Rhinolophus ferrumequinum: one gene and its partners. The protein of the gene in region 2 binds, or shares a complex with, the protein of the main gene of each other region. Links are inferred from orthologs where the notes say so. Each region holds a gene or a part of one and is shown on either strand. Other genes may lie near its edges.

Region 1 (7,477 bases), on a different chromosome or scaffold from region 2:
TTATATCCTACTCCTGTGGAACAATGACAAGAAACTTGAGTTCCAATCCCAGCACTACCACTTACCCTTGTGACCTGAAAAATCCATGTCTCCTGTCTTAAGATTCAGCAGTCTAGTCTATAAAATATGGACAAACACAAGGCATTTGCAGAGTTGCTATGAGGATTAAATGAAATCTCACTTTCAAAGTACCTGGTACACACAGAAATACAAAGGATCATACAAGAATATTGTGAAAGACTATATGCCACCAAATTTAATAACCTTGAAGAAATGGAGTTCTTAGAAATATATAACCTTCCTAGACTGAACCACAAAAAACTGGAAAATCTAAATAGACTGATCAACAGTAAGGAAATTGCAATAATCATTAAAAACCACCCAAAAAGTAAAAGTTCAGGATGGCTTCACTAGTGAATTCTACCGAACATACAAAGATGATTTAATACCTGTCCTTCTCAAACTATTCCCAAAAAACTGAAGAAGAGGCAATACTTCCTAACTCGTTTTATGAGGCCAACATTACCCTGATACTAAAACCTGGTAAGGATAACACACACAAAAAAGAACATCACAAACCAATATCTCTAATGAATACAGATTCAAATTCTAAACAAAATATTAGCAAATTGAATACAATGCATTAAAAATGATCATACATCACAATCAGATAGGGTTCATTCCAGGGGCACAATGATGGCTTAACATATGCAAAACGATCAATGTGATACACCACATAAACAAAATAAAGGATACAAGTCATACGATCATATCAATAGATGCAGAAAAAGCATTTGACAAGATACAGCATCCATTTTTAATTAAAACACTTAATAAAATGGGAATAGAAGGAAAGTACCTCAACATAATAAAGGCCATATGTAACAAACCCTCAGCTAGCATCATACTTAATGGTGAAAAACTGAAAGCTTTTCTCTAAGATCAGGAACAAGACAAGAATGCCCTCTTTGACTACTGCTATTCGACATAGTATTGGAAGTCCTAGCCAGAGTAATCAGGCAAGAGAAGGAAATAAAGCATCCAAATTGGAAATGAACAAGTCAAATTGTCACTTTTTGCAAATGACATAATTCTTTATATAGAAAACCCCAATGACTCCACCAAAAAAAAAACCCTCCAAAAACAAACCTATTAGAAACAATAAACAAATACAGTAAAGTTGCAGGATACAAAAATCAATGTATAAAAATCCATTGTGTTCCTATATACTAACAATGGAATTTTAGAAAAAGAAATGAAGGAAACAATTCCTTTCACAATTACAACAAAAAGAATAAAATACTTTTGAATAAACTTAACAAATGATTTAAAGGACACTGAAAACTACCAGACATTATTGAAAGAAGTTTAAGATACAAACAAATGGAAAGATATTCAGTGTTCATGGATTGGAAGAATCAACATAGTTAAAATGGCCATATTATTACCCAAAGCAATATACAGATTTAATGCAATTCCCATCAAAATCCCAATGGCATTTTTTAAAGAAATAGAACAAAAAATTATCAGATTTGTATGCAATCACAAAAGACCCCAAATAACCAAAGCAATCTGGAAAAAAAGGAACAAGTCTGGAGGTATCACATCCCCTGACTTCAAATTATACTAGAAAGCGACAATAATTAAAACAGCATGGTATTGGCAAAAAAACAGACACACAGATCGATTGAACTGAATTGAGAACCCAGAAATAAACCCACATATGTATGGGCAGATAATTTTCAACAAAGAAGGCAAAAACGTACAATAGAGAAACAAAAACCTCTTCAATAAATGGTGCTGGGAAAATTAGAAAGCAACAGAATGAAACTAGACTGCTATTTGTCACTAACACAAAAATTAACTCAAAATGGATCAAAGAGGTAAATATAAGACCTGAAATAATAAAATTCATAGAAGAAAACATAGGTACTAAACTTATGGAACTCGGTCTTAGAGAGGATTTTATGAATTTGACCTCAAAGGCAAGGGAAGATAAAGCAAAAATAAATGAATGGGATTGTTTCAAATTGAAAAGCTTCTGCATAGCAAAAGAAACATCAACAAAACAAAGAGGCAACCAGCCAAATAGGAGAAGATATTTGCAAACAACACCTGTGATAAGGGGTTAATATCTAAAATATATAAAGAGCTCATACAACTCAACAACAAAAAAAAATCTGATTAAAAAATGGGCAGAGGACCTGAATAGACACTTCTCCCAAAGACATACGAACTGCCAACAGATATGTGTATATGAGAATATGCTCAACTTCACTAGCTATTAGGGAAATACAAATCAAAGTCACAATAAGATACTGCCTCACATCTGTTAGAATGGCTATTATCAAGAAGATAACAATGGCTATTATCAACAAGTGTGGGAGAGGTTATGGGGAAAAAGGAACCCTCATACACTGCTGGTGAGAATGTAAATTGGTACAGCCACTATGGAAAATATTATGGAGGTTCCTCAAAAAATTAGGAATAGAATTACCATATGACCTAGCAATCCCTCTTCTGGGTATCTATCCCCCAAAATTGAAAACATTTATCCATAAAGATATATGTACCCTTATGTTCATAGCAGCATATTCATGGTGACCAAGACATGGAAACAATTGAAATGTCCTTCAATGGGTGACTGGATAAAGAAGATCTGGTACATACATACAATGGAATATTACTCAGCTATAAGAAAAGATGAAATACTGTCATTTGCAACAACATGGATGGATCTTGAGATTAAGCAAAATAAGTCAGACAGAAAAAGCCAAGACCCATATGACTTCACTCATTATATGGGATATAAAATTGAAATCACTAAATGAACAAGACAAACAAACAAAAACTCATAAACACAAACAACAGTTTGGTGGTTACCAGAGGGAAAGTGGGGAGAGGGAGGTAGAAAAGGGTAAAGAATATCAAACATCTGGTGACACAAAGAGATTTGATTTTGGGTGGTGAACACACAATGCAATATGCATTTGTACAGATGATGTGTTATAGAATTGTACACTTGAAACCTATGTAATTTTACTAACCGATGTCATCCTAATAAATTAATTTTAAAAGAGTTAGGAAAAAGAAAAAAAAAAAGCACCTGGTACAGTATGCCTAATATACCGTAATGTAATAGCCAAATGTTATTGATTTTGTGTGTCAGTAAATATGAGGGTTTTATGTATATTATCTCATTTATAACTCTAGCCAAATAGAATTCTTTAATATTCTCATTTGCTCTTTCAGTCTTTCACATCTCAGTAGACAAAGCATCACCATTTACTTAAAAATTAAGGTTCCAAATCTAGTATTTTTCTTGATTCCTGTCTTTCCTACGCTCTACTCATCTAATTCATCATCCGGTTTTGCTGACTCTAAAAAGAAAACCCAAGTCACTCAGTTCTCTCAATTTCTACTACCATTATCCTATGTTCAGCCACTACCATCCCTCACTTAAATATCTTCAGGAGAATGTAAGCTACATGTGAACAGACTCCACGTATTATTAATCACAGCTGTATGCCTAGCACCCCAACACCCAGAACGGTGCCTGGCTCTTAGTAGGCTTTTACCAGCTGTCTTGAATGAATGCATGGTGCCAGAAAACTTTGAAGTGGGTAATATTATTATTTCCATCTTATAGATTGCAAAATGGGCGTGCAGTGGTTAAATAACTTACTTAAGATCACACAAATACCCAAACCAGGATTCAAATCCAGGGTCTAACTTAGAGGCTGCAGGTTATCCACTATGCCGCCATATTGAACTACACTGGCGAATGCTTAAGTTAATTATTAAGGGTTTTTTAACTGATGTTAGGAGAAATTTTAGTTGAAATTCCCCAACCTGAAAACTTTTCCTGAGCATAAAGTTCATGTGCCCCTTCGCACAGCCTTGTAGAGGCATCATGATTTGGCTTCTCCCAAGTCTCGTCTCTCGTCATTGGCCTTTCTCCCCAACAGCCCAACTACTATGAACTCTTTTCTCTTCCCAGCAAATACTCCTGCCTCTATTCGAAACACTGCCTCTCTCTTCTGAAAAACCTTTCCTAATTTCTCAATTCTGAGAGATTATAACAAGCAGTACTTTATCCCAGCTGGCATCACTCAACTAAAATTACCGTATTTATTACTTTGTTGTTTATTGCTGTGTCCCCCGTGCCTAACAAGCGCCTGCAACAGAATAGGTACTTGATAAATATTTGTTGAATAAAGGTATGAAAAGGCAAGGATTCTTTCATCAATTTACAGATGGAAAGACTGTGGCTCCTAGAGGTCAGGTATTTTCCCCGCGTCAGTGACTAAGTGGCAGAGGTAACATTTGAATCGGCTCCACAGACAGCCCGCCCCAGACCACGCCCGCCCTCCTAGCTCCTCACTTCCGCCCGCTCCGACTAGCTCCACCTACTTCGCCAAGCGCCATCTCTCAGACTAGTTTGGCCCCCAGGCGGCCGCCGTAGCGCGTCTTTCCGTTGCTCTGGGAGACGACCCCGGCCCAGGGTTGGAGGAAAGACGTTTCCCGCCGGCGGGAGCTGCGGTTGTGGCGGCGCGGGGAGCTCAGAGACTGCGGGGCGCGGCGCTGCAGCACCATGGCGGACCAGCTTTATCTGGAAAATATAGACGAGTTCGTCATGGACCAGAACAAGATCGTGAGGAGCTAGGACTGGGGAACTCGGGCGTGCGACTGGGGAGCTAGGACGGGGGTCCTGGGCCCGGCGAGGGCGGTGGGAGCCTTGACCCCTCTGCGTGTGTTCTCGTGGGGACTGGCGGAGGGAAACAGGTCCCCCCACGCGCCAGGGCAAGCGAAGACTCGACAGAGAGGGCCTCAGGCGCGCGCGCAAGTCCGCGTCCATTGGGTGGGCGTGCTGGGCGCTGCACAGACTAGGGGCCGTGGAGGGAGGAGCATCGATTGATAATATTTCTAAGGCGTCTCTACACCTGTCTGATAAGGTGGTTGGAATTTAAAGCTCCAAGTTTACAGTTGAGGAAGTTGCACGGGTTTTAAGTGACAAGCTGTTTGACCTTCCAGCAGTCGGTTTCCTCTTACTGGAAATCTGGTATTGATACAGGCTTGACCTGTCTCAGGAAGGGTAAAGATCAAGTGGGACAGTGGATGTGAATACACTTTGCCAGTGTGAGGATTGAGTGCCTCCTGTGAGCTTTGGACACACATTATTGCATTTCATCTATGCAGTGACCCAGCCAGAGGTCGGTAGAAGTATTCTTAGAAAGGCAGTTGAAGCAGAGGGGCCAACTAACTTCTTTATTTGTGGCTAGTAAGGGATAGGCAGTTTACCAACTTCGGGCCGTCTCTGTTGCTAATGCTTTCTTATGTTACACATCACACTGTCTTTGCCTAACCTATGTAATACTTCCAGTTACTGGAAACTCAGCATTTTGAATTGGAAGACTTTGGAGAGAGGAGTGACAGTAGAGCTAGGGAAGGATGGAAGCTCTAGGCTTGACCCCCGGAGTTCCCAGTCTAACCTCTGATACAGAATCCATCCACCCCATTCATTTCCTGACCCATGCACCACCTGTTTCTTTAATGTTTGTATGGCTGCAACTATCCTTAGAAGTTTTTCTGACTCATACACTTCAAAGTAATCTAGCTTCTGGGTGAGTTTTAGGATTGTTTTCGGTGGAGGCCCCCAAAACAAAAAGGGCAGAATGTGAAATAAAAAAAGCAAAACATGGAGTGTAAGAAAAATAAGAACTTTTTCTTTGATGTATATACCATGTTTCCCTGAAAATAAGACCTAGCTGGACCACCAGTTCTAATGCATCTTTTGGAGCAAAAATTAATAATATTATATAAGACCGGGTCTTATAATATAATATGCTATAATACTATTTTAATATAAGACCCGGTCTTATAATATAATATAGTATAATATAATGTAATAAATATAATACCGGGTCTTTATATTAATTTTTGTTCCAAAAGATGCATTAGAGCCGATGGTCCGGCTAGGTCTTATTTTCAGGGAAACACGGTGTAAGCCTTCCTCTTTAGACTCTTTGCGTTGATTGGTGTAAAACAAGCTTTTTAGTATTTGTTAAGATAAATATGTCAGTCTTGCCTGCCCAGATGGATGGTTCTTGGTAAAACTGGGATAGTGGGGGACAGAGCCAGGAGTGGTTTCCAGGCTCTCGGCCTCATGTGGAAAGGTGCTCACTCAGGCAGTAAATGGTCATCAACTGTGATTGGATGGCCATCACCTGTGGCTAGTTGGCCGTCAGCTGTAACCAGTGAGCCATTGGCCACTAATATAACTGCTGTGGCTACGCTAGCAGCCAATGGGGGCTAGCAAGAAGATGGAGGCTGAGCTAGCAGGCGCGGATTGCAGTTAGCACGGCGGATGCCGCCAGCGAGACTATAGTGGTATGACTCCCCTATCTATGGCTCTGTGGGTGTTCCTTTTTGGCCTCATGATGTCCTGCGTTCTTATGTGGGGAGCGGGAGCTGAGACCCAGCATGACACCCTGCATGACAAATGGTATTTAGTATTATTTATAAGGCATAATCATCTAAGAGTAGGAATCTTTAGGAGCCTTTAGAATTGACCTGTACTCCGGAGTCATCTAATAAAACATTTAAAAAAGTTCTTTTTCTTGCAGGTGACATACAAATGGCTGAGCTATACACTAGGTGTTCATGTTAACCAGGCCAAACAGTAAGTCCAATTTACTACTAATTTTAATCACAGTGGAGTCTTGCTTTGCTTGTTTTTTGTTTTGTGTTGTTTTGCGTTTTTGGCTTTACAGATAGCCTCTAGGTTAGAACTTTTTTTTTCCCCCTGAGAAAATGGGAAAGAATATTATTTTTACTACATCTTACTACTTTTGTCTGTTATTCAGGAGGTTAGTAGACTTGTGTGCAAATGTGTGCTAATACATTTACTGACTTTATGTGTAGTCTTGCCCACTGGTTGACATCACTTTGTTATTTCATATTTATTAAATGGGCTAGCCAGTTCTGTTTCTATCTCAGATTTATGTCTGGTATCTTACAGCTTCATGACATTGTCACACATGCTCCTTAGGCCCATCTCTGGGTGTTATTGAAATACCTCCATAATGAGGTCAACAGGTGTTTGACACAAGCTGTATGTGTAACAGTAGAAAATGGGGACAACGATTTAAGTGAAACTAAAAAGGGGAGTGGTTAGGATGGTGTAGAGCACTGCCCTTCATGAATTTTGCTATATCACCTTTCCTTGCTGAAGCTTGTAGTCCAATGTGAGGCCAAAAGGGAAATTTTGTAATTCACTTCAAAATTTCTTGACCTGTAAATGTGCAGATGTTGTTTATGCCCCAAAGGAAGGGAGGAGTTGGTGAACAGGCTGACACACATATTGAGTCAAATACTTCATTTAGCTTGTTTTCTGAAGGTGGTCTGATTTTTCCCTATTCCTTGAATCGTAGGAATGTTCCATGAGTCTTAGAAAATCCCTGATCTCTAGAATGGG
Region 2 (7,789 bases):
AGCCATAGGGATTCGTTTAGAAAGTAAATCAGATTATCATCACTCCTTTGCTCAAAACCCCATGACACTCAGGATATAGGTCCAGGGCCCAACATGACTGGCTTTCTGCCATCCCCTTAGCTTCATCTCCAACCAATCCCCTCTTGGTTACTCTTATCTAGCATCACTCTCTTTAAATATTGAGGCATATGCCCAACTTGGGGCCTTTGCCCCCACTATCCTCTGAGCCTGGAATGCCCCTCTCCAAGATACCTGCATGGTTTCTTCTCTCATTGCCTTTGGACTCTGCTCCAAAGACTCCTGACCAGAGAGGGCATTTCTGACCACCCCCTGTAAATATACTCACCCTTCCCCAGCCCATCCTCCTTCCTGTTTTACCTTTCTCCCTAGCACTGACCACTACCTGATGTTTACTGACACAGCTTTTGCTTATTGATCACCTTTACCTTCTAAAAAGTAAGCTCTAGCAGCACAGGGACTTCACTCAGTTTGGTCACTGCCACATGTCTCCAACAGTCAGAACAGACCTAGGAAGAATCTACCAAAAATCAGTTAAGCCCTTTTGATGGCCTCACAGCTGGTGCTTTCAGATGCTGCCCATTCCCTGCCCCCAGAAGAAGAATAAAAGTTTGCTCCTAGAGGGGTAGCCGGTTAGCTCAGTTGGTTAGAGCACGGTGCTATTAAACAACAAGGTTGCCGGTTCGATCACCACACAGGCCAGGGTGAGCCGCGCCCTCCCCAACTAGATTGAAATAGTTACTTGACTTGGAGCCGATGGGTCCTGGAAAAACACACTTAAAATAAAGTTTTAAAAAGTTTAACAACAACAAAAAAGTTTGCTCCTGAAGAGACTGATCTACAGAAAGTCAGGATTGAAGAATACAAGGCAAATTGAAGGTGGGAACGCCTGGATGAAAACGGGATTGAATGAAAGTGTACATGGCAGAGGTTGAGATGCCCAGGGTCCTGCCTAACGCCGTCCTGCTCCACTTGCACCATAGAGCCAGCAGCCAACTTTAGTCTCCCTCAGCAGGACTGGAGGGTCCCCAGCCAAGAAGCCAGCTGACACTCTGATTGTCTGCTAATGAAGCCCATCACTCAAAAGGCCTTTCCATGCCACACAGCACTTTTTAGGGCCTCATGCTTAAATATGAACAGATAGCCATTGTTGTCAATATTTGAGGAAGGTGTCTGTTATGGAGTAAATCATATCCCACTCTCCAAATTCATGTGTTGAAGCCTTAACCCCCAATAGTACTATAGTTGGAGATAGAGCCTTTAAGGAGGTAACTAAGGTTAAATGAAGTCATAGGGGTGGGACCCTAATCCAACAGAACTGCTGTCCTTATAAAAAGAGGAAGAGACACCATGAATGTACATGCACAGAAAAAGGCCGTGTGAGGACATAGCCAGAAGGCGGTTGTTTGCAAACCTAGCAGAGAGGCCTCACCAGAACCAACCCTGTTGGCACTTGATCTTGGACTTCCAGACTCCAGACTGTGAGAAAATAAATTTCTGTTTTTTAAGTCACTCATCTGTGGTATTTTGTTATGGCAGTCTAATACAATGTCTAATGTGAAAGAGAAGAACCAAACCAAAACAAATAGAAGAGAAGAAATAGCGACATAAGGAACAGAAGAAAACTTTTGAAGTAATTTATATCATTCTTATCCATAGAGGGATAAGAGGAGACCTCAGCAATACAAACAGAATGGTAATTTTAAACAATTAAGGAACTTTCACAGTGCAAAAAGGAGCTCTTTGAAATGTAACATATGATAGGAAGGTTTAAAGTTAATTGAAGATTTAGAAGACAAAATTGAGGAAATCTCACTGAAGGCAGAACAAATAGAAAATAGGAAAGAAAATTTTTTCCAGCTGTATTAAAGTATAATTGACAAATAAAATTATATGTATTTGAAGTGTACAATGTGATGATTTGATATATGTACGCTTTCTGAAATGATTACCACAATCAAGTTAATTAATGTATCTGTCACCTCACATTTTCCATTGTGTGTGTGTGCGCACACCCTGAGAATGATCAAAGTCTGATCTCTTATGTCTGCAATCATATATTATAGGGATATTGGCCTGTAATTTTCTTTTCTTCTAGTGCCCTTGTCTGACTTCATAAACGAATTTGGAAGTGTTCTCTTCTGGCCAATTCTGGTTCCAAATTCCTTTCTAGTTTCTGTAGGCTTGTGCTCATCCTGCCTTGTTATTATATCATATTTCAGCATAATGGGCTGAATGACTTATAACAATCACCACTATCGCTCTTTCCTACAAGTAATCACATGAGTTACTGTGGTACATCACCCAAGGGACCTGCGTACAAACCTCTGTTCTTTAATGGTTTCATGTTTTTATTTTCTGTTTTTGGTATTTGAGAGACTAGATATGGAGGTTTCCAAGAAAAGTTTACTGCCAATTAAAGGATAGCAGAACCATGTCCGTACCCAGGGCTGTCCTGACAAGGGTCACTTGTCTGCACTTTCATAGGTCCCTTGAGATGTCAGTAATAATAGAAATTTCAAAATGAATTTTAATGAAGTTCAGAAAAGAAGAATAAGGTGGAGTGCCCCAAAGCACTTCCTGAAAAGTGGGAGTCCAGGATGGACATCTCAGTTGCCTTACCTGAAAGGTCAGGTCAGCCCCCCTTAGAATGGGAAAGATAGTCCTCACGAGATAAATGGAAGTAGATGAATGATGAATGAATGAATGAATGCAGGTGATTGGGTAAAATTGAAATAAAGCCTCTTCAGACATTGTGTACTATATATGGGATAGCATAACATAATATTCTAGAATGGACAAAAATAAAACTTGGGCTAAATTGTACCAAGATTCTAGAGTTGGTATACATTTTATTTATGTACTCTTCATTACTCTTTTATCCTATTTATCTAGAAAGCAGTGTGAATTGGAGGCTGCCTACTAGTTTGCACTAAAGTGCAGTTAATACCATCTTACTATAGTCCTATAAGGTGCTGCCAAGGTCAGTTAACTTAATGCTGTGTTTCTTTCTTGAGAAAAATACATTTAAAAAATACTGCTGACTGGAATAGGAGAGAATGGGAAAGGAAATTGAAATACAATGGTACACTTCCCATAGAGTTCACAGGTTACTTTCAATGTGAAAAGCGAGTTTTGTCATTTCTTGTTAATAGAAACACTGACATTTAGAGATATACATTAAAAAACTTAATTATTATAATAAGGGGTTACCCCTGTTTTTCTAGGGCATTTCAGTAGATACCCAGATGGTGCAGTGGACAGCTGTTTGTGAGCCTGTTGAAATTACGCCAATTTGTATTACATTATGACGTCTTAGAAAAGCATGCAACTTGAATTTGCTGGGATAGAGACAAGAGTACTGAAGTTGACGCGCATTTATAAAAAGTCTATCAAATGGCAAAACAAAAGGACTTGGAAAAAGAAAACAACCCATGTGAATATTTTCCCAGCTCCGCAAAATCAGCTTTCAAAAAAGAGTACTGGTTTGTTTCATAAGTACTTGTAAACTCTTCGGGTGCCTTAGGTAAGGGAATAAGGGGGAAAAGTGTCGTCATGCACCGAGGATCGCTTCACGTTTGTGCATTACAACAATAAAGACTATTATGATGGCAATGTGGGATCTCCTGGCAAATCGACATTGCCGAGAGGGGGGAAATGGTCCTTATGGGACAACTGTCTTGCTAGAAGGCCCTCAATTACAATTGTATTTAAGCTTACATCATGTACAACATATATTTTTTAATATTAGCAGAAAATTGCTTTCGCGTGTAACCCCAGTGCTGCATGTGAGGTGGGATACCCGCCGTAGTTTGCAGATATCCAGGTGGACGGGGAAAGGAGTTTGTTGTGCCCCTGCGGGAATTGACAACGAATCGCTTACACCCCTTGGCGCAGTGCTCATTCCCACCAACCCATGTGGGCGGTGACTCTCGGTTTCTCCGACATTGTGAAGTGTCAGGTCATGTGTCCTTTCTCCACTAGATGTCACTGTAAATCAATCGCTCGTGGAGGGGGAATCCATGGTTTGAAGTATGCTCAGAGAGCACCAGGGTTTTTAAGCATGGTCAGTCCCTGCGCTTGTCCTCTCCGACTGGGGAGCGCGGGCAGGGGCGGCGGGGACTCGCTGAAGGAAAGCAGTGCCCAGTCGCAGGCTGCGACTCGAGCGCGAAGTGCGGAGGTCGCAGGTGCGGACGGCTGTGCGATGCGGAAGGCGGGACCGCGCCGCTTTCCCACTCCGCCGCCAACGAGACGGTCACGTGCCGCGGCGGCGCTGCCTCCGCGGACAACTGCGTGAGAGGAGGGCGGGGCCCAGGGAGGGGCGGGGCGGCCTTTGCCGAACTCTGCGGCGCCGCGCCCGACGTTCGGGGTCGCCTCGGGCAGGGCGCGAGCGAGCGTGTTGCGCCGCGCGGGGGTGAGTGCGGGGCGGGGGTGGGGCCAGCCGCTCCGGCGCCGCGCGCTCAGAGCAGGACACGGCCCGCGGTGGGGAGGTGTGAGGGCGGAGCCAGGGAGCGCGCAGACCGCTGAGGGGAGGTGGGCGGGGCGGAGCTGCGACGCGCGCGCCCGCCGGAGGGGGAGGGGCGGGGACCGCCGCGGAGCGCGCAAGGCCGGCCTCTGCGAGCGTGGGGCGAGCGTGGACCGCGGCGCGGCGGTGTGACTCCTTCCCCAGCCCTCCTCCCGGCCCAGGCGACGACAGTGTGCGGCGGCAGCGGCGGCGGCGGCGGCGCCCGGGTCCGCGAAGCCGGACGAGGCGGCTGTGCCGGGCATGGTGGTCTGGGGCAAAGCAGAAGGTGAGCGACCCCCGGCCGGCGGCGGGGTGGGGGAGGGGCGGAACCGGACACGCGCATCCCAGAGGCGCCGCAGACCCGCCCGGCGGCGGCGGCGGAGCACGAACTGCTGAGGCGGGGCGGAGGGGGCGCGCCGGCCGGACACCGCGGCGGTTCCCTGGAGGCCTGACGGCCCGCCGCGTCCCGAGAGCGGCGGTCGCCGGGTTATGTAACGGTGACCTCCCTTCCCCCTCCGCCATGGCGCGACCTGCCGGGCCCCTCACAGGGCCACCCGCAGAGGCGCCGCGCGACTACTGGTGCCCGCGGCCCTGCCCTCCGCGGCCCGCCGCGGACGCCTCCCGGCCCCGCTCCGACTGCGCCGCAAACTCCCTTTCCTGCGCCGGCGCCTCGCCGGCCATTCAGCGCCGCGCCATTCATTGGTGCGCGCGTTCGGTCGCTGGTTCTTGGAGCAGCGCAGGGTGTCGGCGGGGGCCGAGCGCGGTGTTCTCTGCCATCTCCCGCCACCAGCTCTCCTCTCCGTTATCTCTCTGTCAAACACCCCCGCCTCCCATTGGATCCCGGAATCGGGGTCGGAATACCCGAAGGCACCTTTTATTCACTTGTTTTTCCTTGTTACTTATCTGTTGCCTTCATGTGAAGGGCACCTTTCCCCACCTGTCCGTACGAGAGTCCCTTTCATACTTGCACTCACTGTTGAAACAAGTCAACCCAAGTATAGACGGAAAGGGACGTTTCCTTATGTAGTTCGCTGCTCTTACTACCTAAACCCAGCTGGTAAAGAAGTACCTTAATAGATCACTCCTTAATTGATTCCCCTTTATTTTAAAAAAGAATTGGAGATGGTATAAGTCTACTCTTTCTTCCACGTCTGCTCAAGTCACGTACAGAGTAGAAATGGCATCATTTAGGTAACAATATGGACCGGCACATACCATGAAAGGACTTGCAACTATTAAGGGCTTTATGGAACTGTTCTTAATTCTGCGTATGAGCCTGGTCTCTCTGATCTCTCCACTTCAGCCTTGGAGAAATAGCCATTTCCTCTGTAGGTAGGGTAGGACATAGCATAACCTTGGTTCTTCCTATGGCATGCACAGTAACCCATCTTATGGGTAGTACTGTTAATTCCCTCTTTTCCAAACTTCCCGTCTCTGCTTTCCGGTAGTCTTTTCTTAGCCGGTGCAAATGCTGCTAGCGTGTTCTCTCCCTATACTTCCTATGCTGGACGACGCAAGCTCACCCAAAGTTCCTGTTCCAGGAATCCTTTTCCGTCTATGAGGATATCTTCCATTCAGTACTTAGGCTATTTATTTGCCACTTTTGGTTATCTTTTCATCCACATACTGTTTTTCTGAGACTGTCTTATAGGTCTTGAGGGCAGAGTCTGAACTGAACTTGTCTTTCGTGGTAGAACTTTTCACCTGTCTTATGGTAAACAATATATATTTAAGATTTTTTCGTAAACAATACGTATTTAACATTTAACTTGGAAATCACTATTTTAGGATAAATTTCGAGTAGAAAATAATTTTTTAAAAATAATGTGCTTGAATATGGAAGATCATTTCTTCTCACCTCTAACTTCAAAACTCAAATTCTATGTAAGAGAAAGAAACCCTGTCCTCACCAGGAACCACCTAGTCGTGAATAAATTAGGAATGCTTCATATAATACACATTTGATAGTCCTTTCTTTGATGGCTGCTATAGTAGAAAGACAAGAACTTCAGAGTTAGACGTGGATTTAAATTCTGCTCTGTCCATTATTAGCTGTGTGACCTTGGACAACTCAAAATTTTAAGATCTGATATTTTTCCTCGTAGAAAAGGTCTCATTCCCACCTTGGGTAGCTGAAGATTAAACGTAAGGCATCTAGTGAGTCCCTGGTACATGATGATGCTTAGTACATACATATTCCCTTTGGAATGCCTCTTTATTGAAATTTACACTCTAGAGTGAACCAGGATGTGCTGGAGACAAAGCAAGAGAAGAAAGCTAATCAAAAGAGGTGATACATACCTCTTCTTGTCTCCAAATAAATAAACAAGCCCTAAACTAAATAGCGGTAAAGGTCTTTCAACTTCTCAAGAATGTATGTGGGCCGGCCCGGTGGCTCAGGCGGTTGGAGCTCCGTGCTCCTAACTCCGAAGGCAGCCGGTTTGATTCCCACATAGGCCAGTGGGCTCTCAACCACAAGGTTGCCAGTTCGATTCCTTGACTCCCGCAAGGGATGGTGGGCTGCACCCCCTGCAACTAGCAACGGCAACTGGACCTGGAGCTGAGCTGCGCCCTCCACAACTAAGACTGAAAGGACAACAACTTGAATCTGAATGGCACCCTCCACAACTAAGATTGAAGTAACAACAACTTGATTTGGAAAAAAGTCCTGGAAGTACACACTATTCCCCAATAAAGTCCTAAAAAAAAAAAAAGTATGAGTGTGTGGTGTATTATATATCATAGACTATATTAAACAGGACATTTATAAATGAAGGAAATACCTTTTAATCTTCTTTTCCTCCTGGAATAGCACCAACTGAAGCATTAACATGGATATTAAAAAAGAAGAATCTGATTTTCAAGTCAGCAATGGGGGATGAAGGGAGGAGGAATATAAAAAAAGTCTTTTTTTAGAGATAGTTAGGTTTCGTGTTCTTTTAGTATCTCATCTACGTATAATCTGTACGTGAATCCTAGTCTAAGGTCCAGTGTCTCTTCCTTACACTGTTGCAACAGTGCCCTCCCTGCTATCCCTGTTTTTGCACCCTCTCTCACTAATCCCCCGCATAATAATCGGAGTGATCTTTTAAAAGTTATAAATCCATTTTCTTGCTCAAAATCCTCCCCAAGCTTCCTATAACTCTTGGAATTGAATCAGAACTTTTTACCACAGCCCATCAGGGCATTACATGATTTGGCAGCTGCCAGTTGTACCCTTACCTCCTCCCACATGACTCCATCACTCTGCCTCAGGCCTATGGTTCT
Region 3 (7,511 bases), on a different chromosome or scaffold from region 2:
CAGTTAAAAAGGATACCTAATCCAAAGTGCCAAGAAAAATTGTATTTCCATTCTTCCATTGCTGAGTTACCATGAACATGAGAGCCTGGAAACTAACAAGAATGAAATAGGCATTTTCATCTACTGCTAGAAGGAGAATAACAAATTGGCTCACTTTGGGGAAGGTAATAAGTATTAAAAGCTTTAAAAATATCCATCCCCACAAAGGACTGAACACTTCACAAAAGAAGATACACAAATAGTCAACAGGCACATGAAAATGAGCTTAACATTTAGTCACAGGGAAATGCAAATTAAAACCACAATGTACATCAACAGAGAAATTAAGCCAACAGTTAATCCACTTCATAGACAAGTCTCAAGTTCAGGGAAAAGGGAAGCAGAAAATGATATATAACAGTATAACATTCATATGAATTTTTTAAATTTTTTATTTTGAAATAATTTTAGACTTGCAAACATAGTAGGGTTCTCTTACCCCCAGTTTCCACTAATGTTAACATTCTACATAGCACAATGATCAAAACTAAAAAATGAACACTGGTATAATATTCAACTACATACTTTACTTGAATTTCACCAATTATTCCACTAATATCCTTTTTCTGCTCCAGGATCCAATCTTAGTCATCATGTCTCCTTAGTCGTCTCCATTCTGTGACACTTCCTCAGTCTTCTCTTGTTTTTCATGACTTTGACACTTGTGAAGAGAACTAGTCAGTTACCTTGAGAATATCTCTCAATTTAGGTTTGTCTGATGTCTTCTCTTGATTACATTGCGGTTATGCATTTTTGGCAAGAATATTATGGAACTGACGTGCTCTTCTCAGTGTATCAAACTGGGTGGTACGTGATGTCAATATGTCTCATTACTGGTGATATTAACCATGATCATTTAGTTGAGATAGTGTTTGCCAAGTTTCCCACTATAAAGTTACTATTTTTCCCTTTGTAAGGAATATTTTAGGGGAGATACTTTGAGAATATGCAAATATCCTGTTTGTCCTCATACCACAAAGCACCATCAGTGAATCTTGCCGGTCACAATTACTTTGCAGTGTTCTATTGGTGATTTTCTACCCATTCATATACATTTCTTAAAACAAAAGAGAACAATACTGCATACTACTCGAGGATAGACATCCATAAAGGTATGGATGGTCGATTGGAAGGACAAACCTTATATACTCGATAGTGGATAAAGACTAATATTATCATTGGACATTATTATAAATCTGGAGAAGAAATGTTAAATTCACACGGTGGCGCCCAAGTTTTGCTGCAGATTGGAATCACCTAGGATATTTAAATAGTATTGATATCAGCTTCTACCACCAGATATCCTAATTTAATTGGTATGTATGTGACTTGGGCATTGTGATTTTTATAAGCTCTCCAGGCAATTCATAATGTGCAGCTCACAATAATGAGACAGAGAACCACTGACCTAAAGTAAATAAGATAACTTATGAAAACACCAGTAATTCACGATTTAAATATGAGAAACACAGGTTATACAGTTGAGTAAGCACTCAACTGTATTCTTTTAAAAAAAAAAGTGTCAAAAATTAACATTCACCTTGAAAAAAGTGGCATGCAACTACAAACTGGAAGATTAGTGGAAAGAAAACAATGAATTTAGGGGCGGCCGGATGGCTCAGTTGGTTAGAGCGCAAGCTCTCAACAACAAGGTTGCCAGTTCAATACCCTCCATGGGATGATGGGCTGTGCCCCCTGCAACTAAGATTGAAACCGGTGACTGGACTAGGAGCTGAGCTGCACCCTCCACAATTAGATTGAAGGACAACGACTTGGAGCTGATGGGCCCTGGAGGAACACACTGTTCCCCAACATTTCCCCCCAAAAAACCAAAACCAAAACCAAAACCAAAAACAAAACTTAATTGTAATTATTAAAAAAAAAAATGAATTTAAAAATCAGAGTGTCAAGGCATTAATTCCTTATAATTCTACTTACCTAAAACAGGCAGAATGTGATACTTTAAACATGTATAAGTTAAAAACCGTAACATGTCAGAAATCACTTTACCTTGAAGTGCCTTTTGCATAGTACTGGAACGGATGATGCCAGAATAAAAATAGTAAATGCATTTTCACAGAAAACCACCAGGTACACGCCATGTTACATATAAATACCTGACGTGAAATACGAATAGGAGGCAGTGATGTAAGTCCAGCAAACATATTAATCACCGAGAATACAAACACAAAAACTGATATGCAGGCTTTAACAGCTCATGAAGCTGTTGAAGTTTCCAGTTCATGTGTTTTGCTGGAGAAAGCAAGAGCTTTTTAAAGATGGAGAAAGAAACACTCTCCGCCAAAACGCTCCTTTCAGAATAATGGTTACACTATATATAAGTTACACTATATATGGTTACACTATATATAAGACTCTGAAGTCTTATATATAGCATTTCAAATGATTCAAGCCGCACAAACCTTCAATACTTGCAATTATTCATCTGTAACCATCTCGATTTATCCCGATCTGCACAAAACAAGTTTGGTGCTGATCAGGTGACTAACACATCCCAGGAAAATAAGTACAAGTGAAGAGGGAGGTTTACGAGCTATAGAGAAAAACACAATTTTTTTTTTCCACAAGAAAAATCCTCTTGGATGACAATACCCGGGCCTCATCTCTCTGTGAGCATGTATTTCTATTGCATGCAATTTCGGCCCAATGTCACCATCCAACTGCTATATCATAAAACCAATAGCCAAGGCAACACGAAAAGTTTGAAAACAGTGATGATGAAAGTTTTGAAATTCTCTTACCAATGTGGCAAACACCTGGCAAAACTGCCAACCGCGGATGCCGCCAATTCTGAGCTTGGCGTCCACTGGAAGGACGATGAAGAGGTCTTGAATATCTGTTCCCTTTCCGGGAGCAAGCCAGGCGGTATCGAGAGAGATTTATTCCCCGCAAAGATGAAGAAACGGACCAAGGTTCGCAGAGGATCCTTGCCCGGGCAGCCGCCGGCACACCCGGGTGGCTTCACCTCAAGCCAGCGCGCTCAGCAACTGACAGATCTCAGGCAGCGCGCTCGCCGCGAAGGGCGTTGACGCGCCTGCGCACCGAGGCCCTTCCTTCTCCCGCTCCGCCCACCGAGGAGCAACCGTCACCAGAAAGCAGCCACTTCCGCCGGCGCGTGCGCATTGGAAGATCGAGCGCGTGCGTAGCGCCGGTTCGTTCCCGGCTGGGGCTCCTGCGGCTCACGCTCCTCCTACCGCTCCCCACTCCCCCCAGCCCGCCGCGGCCCGGTACCAGCGTGTTATCCCCGCAAGGGAGCGGTCCGTGCCTTGTGCTCCCAGGACTGCCGTGGTGCGCTCTCGCGGCGCGTGGCAGTAGCCATGGCGATGGATCAAGTGAACGCGCTGTGCGAGCAGCTGGTGAAAGCGGTGACCGTCATGATGGACCCCAGCTCCACCCAGCGCTATCGGCTGGAAGCCCTCAAGGTAGCTGGGGTCTGGCGCCTGGGCCTGCCGGGAGAGTCTTCCCCAGCCCTGCTGTCCCGGCGCCGCCCACGCGGCCCTTAGACCTCCCTCCCCAACCCCGAGGGGCCTTCCTTGCCGCTCTCCGCGCCACTTTCCACTCCCGGCCGCCTCTGCTCGCCGCGCCTACCCCTTTCCCGGGACGCTCCGGTCCCTAGGTGCTTTTGGCGGTCTCATCTCACCACCACTTCCCACTGCCCTCTCCTCCCCCTTTCCCCACTTCTGTTCGCTGTTGACCGCACCACGACCCCCCTCCACAGCTGGCTGCAAGTCTTTTATTCCCCCAAGCCCCACATCCCCTCGCCTTCCCGTGGCGCACGTGTCCATCCCGTACCCAGCAGCAGCTACGTTCTTTATGGTCTTCCCTGCCCTAAACGTTTCCCCGCTAAGCCCCTCTCCTGACTTTCCCTAAACGAGCTCCAGCCCCCTTTTACTTACATTCATACAGCCTCTCCCTAACCTTGTGTGTGTCTTGGGTGTTTCAGGGCTAATTCTCACACACCCTCATCTTAGGTTTTTTAGTGTCTGATATTCTTAGGCAGTTTTGCGCAGAGGTGAACTTCCACCACTTACTTTGCATTTTAACAAGGGCACTTTGATTTCCTGAAAGTAGTTGTCTTGAGTCCCGATGCTCTGCTCCCAAGACTGACTGTTGTGTCGCTACAATATAAGCCACAATATCCCGGCATCAGTTTATGTGGGCTGTGAGAAATGAAATGGCCATTAGGAAAAACGACTTGTGCTGTGCATATTTTAAGTGATGTACAGTGAGCACCACTTGGAGGAAACTTTACATACATTCATGTGTGCCACAGGATTTGGAATCAAATAGTTGGGTTATATTTGCTTTTTACTATGAAATATTAAAAAGATACAAAAGTAGTGAGAATACTTCAGTGGTCTTAGGTGTATACCCATTGCCTAAACTCAGCTGTTACAGATTTTACCGTATTTACTTTATCGCTCCCCCCACCAAAAGTTTTTAAAGCAAATCCTAGAAATTGTTGTTTCACCCCTATATACTTCAGGAGTGTATCTCTAACATAATTTTTTACTCTTTTAGGTCAGATTTTTTTTTCAACATTGGTTGGACATTACATGGGAAATCTGGAACTGTGAACATGAAAGGAGTGTTTGTTTTTTACTCATATAATATTGATCTAGATTTTGTACTTAAAAATGTAGCTCAGGTTGGAGTTTGTTAAGAAGAAGTTTTTTTTAGTCCCGTCTCTCTTGGCTCCTAAGGGAAATGCTAACTTTTATTCTTTCAGTTTTGTGAGGAGTTTAAAGAAAAATGCCCTATCTGTGTCCCCTGTGGCTTGAGGTTGGCTGAGAAAACACAAATTGCCATCGTCAGACATTTTGGCCTTCAGATCCTGGAACACGTTGTCAAGTAAGGAGCTTTTGGATGTTACCAGTGAAGTCTGTGAGAGAGCAAATCTCTATTTCTTATGTAACTCATAGAGATACTCTCTAGGTGAGTAGAAAAGAGCAATCCCCAAGAAGAAAGGATTGATTCCCAAGAGGTCATCACAGCCTTATGGGAGTTCTCATTCAGGACTTAACCTTTCTCTTCTTCAGTGTCTTTATCCATATAAAAAGTATGTGGTACATACTAAGCATTCTGCAAATACTAGCACGTAGTCATTCAGCCAGCAATTATTGAGCTCCTGTTGTATGTCAGCAGACCTCAAAGTCTTTAGAATAGACCTTTTGAGCCACACTGTTGCTCAGGCCCGCTCCTATCTCTTTGGAGTGTATTTTCGCTTCTAATAAACTGCACTTTCACCACTGTTAAAAAAGTCTTTAGAATAATGCAATGTGTAGGTAAACAAATCTCTGATTAGGCACTGTGCCTTTAATTTTTTTTTTTTTTAATTTGAGTGTATCCAAAGCAGGATTATATGAGAATAGCTGAAAACTCTTCCTAAATTGAGTCTGCTACACACGCTGCCTATCAGAAGAATCAGTTTTTAAGATTTAGCCAGTTTTTCTGGAATTGTGCTGTTACCTTGTAAACCATCACAGAAAGGGCATTCATAGTATCTGAAAAGCAACTACAGTGTTGCAGTCATCCCAGATGTGTATCTGCTTTTGGTCTGTCAGGGAAATCAAGAGGGAAGCTGATCTGTGCACAAATCCTGTGTGGATTTCAATGAATGGACCACTGCCTATATAAAACTCTTTCCCAAGAATTCTTCTGTTAGCATTTTGGTTAAACATGGACTGTTTTTATCTGTTCTTGGAAGGGTATAAAATCAAAGTATAATTTCTTAATAAAATCACCAACATAATCTAACAACAGGAATCTAATCTAGTCTCTTATGAAGAGAAGACTTCTAATGTGGTTCTGTCGACTGTGCTTTTGGTGGCCAGGTTTCGGTGGAACAGCATGTCTCGATTGGAGAAGGTCTATCTGAAGAACAGTGTCATGGAACTGATTGAAAATGTAAGGAATGATTGGTTGGAAGACTTGTGTTTCCAAAGTAGTTTAGACAAAGTATGACTTCTTTAATGTAGCATTTGTGTAAAAACTTCACTGGTTCTACATACATGAAACAGCATACTTTGTATGATAGTAAATGTTTCCTTCAAGGTAAAAAGAACGACCATCACAAGAAATCATAGTTATCACATTTCTCTTACTTGGTTTAATTAATCCCTTATTGTTGACTTCTGTTTTGAAAATTATGTAGAGACGGGGCAGAGGAGGTAAGACATTTTCGGCAAATGAGTAAGACTCTTAGATCTAAATTAGATTGCACTTTGCTGCTTGTTTCCTTTTATTCCAAACTTACTTATTCCAAATGCACTGTATGATGAACAATAAAAAATAATGCAGAATGCATTTGTTTCAGGAGTTAGAATATGACTTTAAATATGTTTAAAATCCACAACCTTTTTTTTGTCTTTTTTACAATGGGCATGAAAAGTGGAATTGCTACCGCTTTTTGTTTCCAAAGTCTGGTGCCTTTAATAGAAAAAAATTTTTCCTTCAAAATTATTAATTAACTTAGCTAGCTAGGATTTGTATTTTGCTAGTTCTACGGAAACTTGATAGAAGTCATAATTCATTACTCTTGATATCAAACTAAGGAGAGTCCCAGTAATAGTCTTTCTGTGTTTTCTAATACCGTGTTTCCCTGCAAGTAAGACCTAGCCAGACAATGAGCTCTAACATGTCTTTTGGAGCAAAAATTAATATAAGACTTGGTCTTATATTAAATAAGACCTGGTATTATATCATATCATATCATATGTCATATCAGATCCTATCATATCATACCTGGTCTTATATTATAGTAAAATAAGACCAGGTGTTATATTAATTTTTGCTCCAAAAGACAAATTAGAGCTGGTTGTCTGGGTAGGTCTTATTTTCGGGGAAACATGGTACTAGAACTATTGGTAAAATAGTCCAGTGCTCCTCCTGACTCTCCCATTTTATCAGCCCCTCAGTGTACTTCTTATTTCTGTATTCTTCCACGCTGGCCTCCTTAATGAAACAGTCGATATGAGAGTCTGCTCAGTTTCCAAAGGAGAACAATGATGTCTTCCTTGCTCTGTGTAACAGCCATTTTATTAGCTGGCACAACCCTCCCTTTAAGTGGGAAGAATGATTAGTGAGAATGCAGGACAAGTGAGTCAGACGTGGAGAACCAGTTTGTTTATTCTGTTTACTTTAAAAGCAGGCCTGCTGATGAGTTTTTACACTTTTGTAGCCCCGATTTTTCCTTGCAGTCAGTCTTGTAGACTTCTTACTATCTTTTTTCCTTGCAGTCAGTCTTGTAGACTTCTTACTATCTCTCATTCTTTTTCAGGGAACACTGAACATTCTGGAAGAGGAGAACCATATTAAAGATGTTCTATCTCGAATTGTAGTAGAAATGATCAAGCGGGAGTGGCCGCAGCACTGGCCTGACATGCTCATGGAATTGGACGTTCTTTCCAAACAAGGGGTATGAAATACAGCTGTACCGGGTCAGTTTACGT

The links. The genes of interacting proteins can lie anywhere in the genome.
Region 1: the proteins of REV1 (region 2) and POLD3 are in contact, whole or in part, in an NMR structure (PDB 2N1G), measured with the Homo sapiens proteins. The link is inferred for Rhinolophus ferrumequinum from reciprocal best matches to the Homo sapiens genes REV1 and POLD3. Residues at the interface, in NP_057400.1 of Homo sapiens: Asn1158, Leu1159, Ala1160, Gly1161, Leu1171, Leu1172, Glu1174, Trp1175, Ile1179, Met1183, Glu1184, Glu1185, Asp1186, Gln1189, Val1190; in NP_006582.1 of Homo sapiens: Gly232, Asn233, Met234, Met235, Ser236, Asn237, Phe238, Phe239, Gly240, Ala242, Ala243, Met244.
Region 3: the proteins of REV1 (region 2) and POLH are in contact, whole or in part, in an NMR structure (PDB 2LSK), measured with the Homo sapiens proteins. The link is inferred for Rhinolophus ferrumequinum from reciprocal best matches to the Homo sapiens genes REV1 and POLH. Residues at the interface, in NP_057400.1 of Homo sapiens: Asn1158, Leu1159, Ala1160, Gly1161, Leu1171, Leu1172, Trp1175, Ile1179, Asp1181, Pro1182, Met1183, Glu1185, Asp1186, Gln1189, Val1190; in NP_006493.1 of Homo sapiens: Thr528, Glu529, Pro530, Phe531, Phe532, Lys533, Lys535, Ser536, Leu539.

The regions. Positions count from the first base shown.
Region 1 is NC_046294.1:49,482,022-49,489,498, forward strand, and holds the start of POLD3 (DNA polymerase delta subunit 3), read left to right. Parts: upstream 1-4,439; 5' UTR 4,440-4,594; coding exon 4,595-4,654; intron 4,655-6,626; coding exon 6,627-6,682; intron 6,683-7,477. UniProt on the Homo sapiens protein: Accessory component of both the DNA polymerase delta complex and the DNA polymerase zeta complex.
Region 2 is NC_046296.1:4,736,401-4,744,189, forward strand, and holds the start of REV1 (DNA repair protein REV1), read left to right. Parts: upstream 1-4,611; 5' UTR 4,612-4,808; intron 4,809-7,789. UniProt on the Homo sapiens protein: Deoxycytidyl transferase involved in DNA repair. Transfers a dCMP residue from dCTP to the 3'-end of a DNA primer in a template-dependent reaction.
Region 3 is NC_046286.1:12,894,412-12,901,922, reverse strand, and holds the start of POLH (DNA polymerase eta), read right to left. Parts: upstream 3,039-7,511; 5' UTR 2,802-3,038; intron 2,594-2,801; 5' UTR 2,463-2,593; intron 1-2,462. Other genes in the region: XPO5 (exportin-5), read left to right, coding at 3,378-3,482, 4,790-4,911, 5,895-5,967, 7,340-7,477. UniProt on the Homo sapiens protein: DNA polymerase specifically involved in the DNA repair by translesion synthesis (TLS). Due to low processivity on both damaged and normal DNA, cooperates with the heterotetrameric (REV3L, REV7, POLD2 and POLD3) POLZ complex for complete bypass of DNA lesions.